Mus musculus: one gene and its partner. The protein of the gene in region 2 interacts with the protein of the main gene of each other region in a pairwise test. Links are inferred from orthologs where the notes say so. Each region holds a gene or a part of one and is shown on either strand. Other genes may lie near its edges.

Region 1 (2,616 bases), on a different chromosome or scaffold from region 2:
ATCCACAAAGGTCCTGCTGGGAAGTGCTTTGGGGCTGTTAGGGGTAGGTGCTACAACCACAGGGCAGGCACTAAGTGCTAGGCCTCCACACCATACTTGGAAAGCTGGTACTCCCTGCCTCAGCTGAACAAGTGTAACAAAGCCAAGCTAAAGCCAGTAGCCTTGTGAGGACTTCGTCTTGAGAGAGGTTTTGGAGCACGGACTCTGCTGACCCCTTGTGGCTACAACTGGTCACAGCATCTATGGGCGCTTCTCCATTTCCCTTCTGGGAAGTGCTCCAACAAAGCTGGGGCTGGATGGATTGATAGGCATATCATTTAAGTTGCTCAGAGCAAGGCAGGTGAGTGTGTGTGTGTGTGTGTGTGTGTGTGTGTGTGTGTGTGTGTGTGTGTTCCTCATTCAGTATGGAAGACAACATCTGGCCAGCAGATGATACCCAGAATGCTTCAGTGTGGGGAGAAATCCTGTGATTTTTCAGAGACAGTGTAATCAGCAGACCTCAGACAGGATGGTTTGAAAACATAAAGGATATTTATTTCTTAGGAAGGTCCACCACAGCTGGCAGGCACTGCTTCTCCTGCTTCATGGATTCCTCTCTCCTGTTCTAAGAAATCCCCACTGTGCTTGGAAAGGCCCTCGGGGAGGCTGGGCTGTGCAGAATCGAACACAACACTCCAGAGCCTTAAGGAAATGACAAATATCCTCTTCCTCACAAACACACATATAAAATAAATAGATATATATATATAAAAGAGGCCATGCCCCTCCTGCCCATTTGCTGGGACAGCTTGGGAGAGCGGGCTGCATGGCCACACGCCCCTTCTTCCAGCCAGGACACCAGAGGATACATGGTCTGGAGTATGATGAACCAAGAATAAGTCCTGGCTTCAAAAGGAGGATGGGCAGGGTCCTCTCTCTGGAGCCCAGCTGGGCAGAAGTGAGGGAAGGGTGGGTACAAATAAATAAATAAGTAAATAAATAAATAGAACTCAACGTGATCCCAGAGGTCTAAGGGTTTGGGCTGGAGGCTCAGGGCCCTTGGGGCCTGTTTTTTTTTCAGAAAAACAGCACACCCGGTGACAGGCAGAAAGATGAGCAGAAAAAATACAAACCCAAAGTTACACCCCACAGCCTCCAGAAACCAGTCTCAAACCAGCTCAAGTGGAAGGAGAAGCAGGAGGAGGGGAGGCTGAGCTCCCAGTGGCTGTGCCAAGCCTGCCCTCTGGCCCCAAGGCTGGGGACCCTCCCCTTTCTGCACTCTCTAGGCTCAGCAGGGCCTCCCACTGGCTTTTATCCAGACCATCTCCATGGGAGGAAACTGTGGCTGCCTCCAGGATGGGCTCTTCCCTAGGGAAACTGAGACTGGCCTTCTATCTTAGTGGCTTACATGACTAGAGCATCCTCTTGTCAACCCAGAAAAGTCCCATGTGGCTGCAAAATAATTCAAATAATGCAGCCCTGGTGTCTCCCCACTGCTCCATTTGGCTGAGAGTGTCCCTGCTCCCTCCAGCCCAGAGCACCCTCTCTGAAACCTTCAGGCCGAAAGGGAGATGGTGTCAGACAGAAGCAGTGAAAAGAAGGGACAGTTAGGGGCCAAACAGGTCACATGACAGACCCCGAGGGACGCAGGAGCCCCGGGCCCTCCTGGAGATGCCTGTGGCTAGTGGGATCCGGAGAGCACAGGGTGGGGCGGCAGCCGCTCAGCTGGGCAGCAGCACATGCTCCAGGAGGTAGGTGAGGGAGGCCCAGTGCTTCCACAGTAGGAAGAGGACGAGGAGCAGGAGGGCGGTGCTGGTGATCCGGAGGCGCGTCTTCATGAGGGGGGTGATGAAGTTGGCAATGGTGGACACAAACACCAGCAGCACGGCCATGAGTGCCAGGATCACGTTGATGAACTTGCCCAGCAGGGCGCGCGCGTTGGCGTTCTCCACACCTTCTAACTGCACCACTTGCTGCTGCTGCTGCTGCAGTTCCAGCTTGGTGACTCGGGTCAGGCAGGACTCCACGGCCTCCTGTGGGGACAGAGGGTGGATGTGGAAGCCCAGGGTGGCTGAGACTAGACTGAGCCCAGTCCACCTGTGCTGATTCCAGTAGGGCTTCAGTGTGGCCTCAGGGGTAAGCTTGGAAGCTTGCTTTCTGCATGGCAATGTTAGGGTAGTGAACTTTTTTTTTTTTTTTTGGTTTTTTGAGACAGGGTTTCTCTGTATAGCCTTGGCTGTCCTGGAGCTCACTTTATAGATCAGGCTGGCCTCGATCTCAGAAATCTGCCTGCCTCTGCCTCCCAAGTGCTGGGATTAAAGGCGTACGCCACCATGCCCGGCTGGTAGTGAACTTTTAAAGTGTGTGTGTGTGTGTGTGTGTGTGTGTGTGTGTGTCTACTGTAAAGAAATAAGTCACTGGTGGGATTGCTGGACTCTGAGCTATATCTGAGTTACAAGATTTTGGGGGTCAGGAATAGTCTGACCCCCAAATCTCTCTGCCTCACCATGTGACACAGTCCCTGCCCTGGGGAGGCTATAGCTGTGAGGTCCTTACCAGCTGTAAGGAGAGGATGACTCCACACTCCAGTGAGAGCTGGGCAGACCTTTTCTCTTTACAAATTATCCAACCTCATGC
Region 2 (3,830 bases):
GAAGTGTGGACACTATGCCCCTCCTTAGAAGTGGGAACAAAACACCCATGGAAGGAGTTACAGAAACAAAGTATGGAGCTGAGATGAAAGGATGGACCATGTAGAGACTGCCATATCCAGGGATCCACCCCATAATCAGCTTCCAAATGCTGACACCATTGCATACACTAGCAAGATTTTACTGAAAGGACCCAGATGTAGCTGTCTCTTGTGAGACTATGCCGGGGCCTAGCAAACACAGAAGTGGATGCTCACAGTCAGCTAATGGATGGATCACAGGGCTCCCAATGGAGGAGCTAGAGAAAGTACCCAAGGAGCTAAAGGGATCTTCAACCCTATAGGTGGAACAACATTATGAACTAACCAGTACCCCTGAGCTCTTGACTCTAGCTGCATATGTATCAAAAGATGGCCTAGTCGGCCATCACTGGAAAGAGAGGCCCATTGGACACGCAGACTTTGTGTGCCCCGGTACAGGGGAACGCCAGGGCCAAAGGGGGGGAGTGGGTGGGTAGGGGAGTGGGGGTGGGTGGGTAAGGGGGACTTTTGGTATAGCATTGGAAATGTAAATGAGCTAAATACCTAATAAAAAATGGAAAAAAAATTATTTTTTATAAAAAAAAAAAAAAAAAAGAAAGGTAGAAAGGATCGTGTCAGCTCAAATTCTATAACGAAACAATACTGGCAGTCTGCCTTTATTTCTTTCTGAGACATTATTATATGTACAATAATATAAAACTATGAATAATGAGCCACATTTTTGGCTTTGAAATCTAGCCATACAGTACTATAAGACTATGTGTATGTGTGTAAGAGATCAGACTCTAGAGGGACAGTCGATGTAAATCTCCAGTCTACTGATCATGTTCAGTCTACTCCCTTCTCTCCCTCCTCTCTGCACTCTTGCTGACGCCTATATTGTTTTCTCCCTAATATCTATGATAAACACCTTGCCCTTAATCATGTCATGGAGCAGTCATGTAGTCAATTTAGATAGGTGGGGGAAAGTCCAAAAGGCCTCAACGTCAAGAACTCTAGTCAATTGAGGAAAGCTGGGAGCAAGGGAAGTGGTCTTCCCCAGGGGAAAAATAAAGCCTACAAGTTGGTTGTCCAGTGATAAATGGTCAGCTCTAAAAGTAAAATACACATAACAAGCAGTATTATACAGACTGAGAGACACACACACATAGAGGTGTGTGTGTGTGTGTGTGTGTGTGTGTGTGTGTGTACATATATAACAATTAGTGAAAAAAGAGGCCATGAATTTGAAGGAGAGTAGGAAGAGGTATATGGGAAGGTTTGGAGGGTGGAAAGGGAAGAGAGAAATGTAATTATATTGTAATCTCAAAAATAAAATAAAAACTAAAAAGAAAAAAAAAACAAGGGCTGGCAATCTAATGGCACTAATGAAGCCAGCTGCAGACTAAAAAAGCAAGATTCTTTCTTCTTTCTCCTGAGGACTCTCTGCACCTTCAAGATGTCACGTTGCAACCCCCTTCTTTGAATGACTACTGTTCCCTTCCTCACTGAGAAGCTTTGTTCTCTCTCTAAAATCATAAACTGTCAAGAACTTCACTGTTTGACCTGAGATCAGTGAGAATGCAGCATCTGAGGCCTGCCTGGAAGATCTAACACTCTTTAACAAGGAAACACAGTCCTGATGCATAACCGAGGTGCTGTGCTAATCTTCAGAGAGTGGACACATCTCACAACCCTTCTCACTTAGCTCCGGAGGAAGCTGGACCTTTGTCTGTGCTGCAGGTGATGCTGGCACATTTCTAAACAGCTTTGACAACGCCAAGAGATATAGCCGGGTTAGTAAGCTAGCCCAAAATTGACTCTGGTAGAGTTCCCATAGGAGAAAAGAGTTAACAGGCTCGAGGTTTTTTGAATTCCATGTTCACTTCTGAATATCTAGGTCTGGTTAGGATAGAAAAGAGCCTGGCATCAGAATGTGTGTGTGTGTGTGTGTGTGTGTGTGTGTGTGTGTGTGTGTGTGTGTGTGTGTGTGTGTATCTACTTTCAGGTCATTTTTACTCACACCCAAGTGATGGTAGATGATCGATATACTATTGTAATTTATCTGTAAAAGATCAATTAGGTTGGAAATGGTGAAAAAAAAAGATAAATCATCCAAACAATAAAAAAAGAAGAGATTATATATTTATCAGAGAATGCAAACTGCCTTGTCCTCATGCGACTAGAATGGCATAAAGGTAAGGGACAGAAGTGTTTAATAAGTCTCATAATGGTTAGAGGCTACACAAAAGAGTCTGAGGAGATTCCTTAGGGAACAGAAAGAATTAGTAAAGTTTTTAATTTTGGTTATCTCTGTAGAGGGATGTTCAGCATGGTTGCCTTTAGTAACAATAGAATGCAACTCACACTTATGCTTAGGGAAATACACAGAGAACAGTTGGCATACGCTTCTAATTCTCAGTGTGCAACCCCAATGAACACTCTCTTACCGCATGCAACCGTCGAGCGTGGTACTCTGCTGCTGAAAAGTAATTTCCTGGCTTGAGCAGTTTATCGGTCATGTTTGATACATACACACCAATTTTAGTCATCTGAGTGGAGGTGGTATTTGTAGTTTGTTGTAGCTTTTTTTTCTGAAAAACTGTCTAAAATGAAAACATGAAGAGTAAGCACCTACTACATGACTTCTATAGTAAAGAAAATCTTAGAAGCATAGACAAGTGGAGAGTAACTATTTTAGTTGTCATTATTTATGTGGAGAGTGGATGGACGGCAACCTGAGTGAATGTCTGTCGTTGCCATGAGCATGGCCGTGGTAAGGACCCCAGTGCCTCCGATCCTGGGAATGGTCATGCTTTCCCAGATCAGCCTCAGAGCAATAGCAAAGCCTTCCTTCCATAGATCACAGTGAGGAAGCTGACAGTATGTGAAGAGAATATCATTTCCAGCTTCCTCCTCTCTGATGGCTGCAATTTGAACCTGTTCCCCTAGACACCCGCTAAGAGCTGAGCCACCTTCCACAGTAGATTCCATACCCAGTGGTGTATAATAAGTGTGCCGAGTCTCTGGGCCACTGGTACGTCTCTATCAGAGCACATGACTCAACAGATCCCAGCTTATCCATCATCTCTTCATTACCTGTCACCTCAGTGAGGTCAGTCCCAAACCTGTGCAGATTGGGGCACAGTTAAAGAGAAATTCGAGGGGACCAACCAGGATACCATTGCCACACACAAAAACAGAAAGATAAAAATATTACCTGGGTGTCCCTACAGAACAGATTGTCTTTTTCAGGAATCTTTCTAGGTACAGTTTGTGTTCCAGCGTTGTGATATTCTAGTCCTGTTATTTTATGTCTAAATCCTCCAAGAAATGGCTTGTGGAAGTCAGATTTTATTATCTCAACTGCTACCTCCTCATAGCGATCGATGCCTAAGGAATGAAAGGCAAGGCTGAAGGAGAGTTCGACAAGGGCACACTAAAACACTTGGTCTAACAGTTGTTAAGGACTCACTGGTCTGAATGGTGACCGTTATGATCTGGGAGCCCTCACTCAAGCCCTCTATTCTTCTGACTGGATATTGGTCAGGAAGTGTGGAAAACACCTCCACTTGAACAATTTCTTGTGGTTTGATTCCATATTGTATTAGAGATTCATTATTCCCAACAATGATGCCTAAGAAAAATGAAAACGTTAGGGTGTTTTATGTCACAGAGATAGAAATTTCTGTTTATTCTTTATTTTAAATTGAAAATGTTATATATGTTTAAATTTGTAACAAAGGATGTTTCAATCAACATATGCCCGTGCTGTGAAATGGTTAAAGAAAGCTAACAAATCCATTATTCAC

The links.
Region 1: the proteins of Iqub (region 2) and Tmcc2 interact in a two-hybrid assay, tested with the Homo sapiens proteins (2 studies listed by BioGRID and IntAct). The two-hybrid records come from large-scale screens. The link is inferred for Mus musculus from reciprocal best matches to the Homo sapiens genes IQUB and TMCC2.

What each region holds. Positions count from the first base shown.
Region 1 is NC_000067.6:132,355,806-132,358,421, forward strand, and holds the end of Tmcc2 (transmembrane and coiled-coil domains protein 2), read right to left. Parts: intron 2,013-2,616; coding exon 1,701-2,012; 3' UTR 510-1,700; downstream 1-509.
Region 2 is NC_000072.6:24,497,775-24,501,604, forward strand, and holds part of Iqub (IQ and ubiquitin-like domain-containing protein), read right to left. Parts: intron 3,656-3,830; coding exon 3,494-3,655; intron 3,412-3,493; coding exon 3,239-3,411; intron 2,625-3,238; coding exon 2,469-2,624; intron 1-2,468. UniProt on the Homo sapiens protein: Adapter protein that anchors the radial spoke 1 (RS1) complex to the A microtubule of outer doublet microtubules in axonemes. The triple radial spokes (RS1, RS2 and RS3) are required to modulate beating of the sperm flagellum.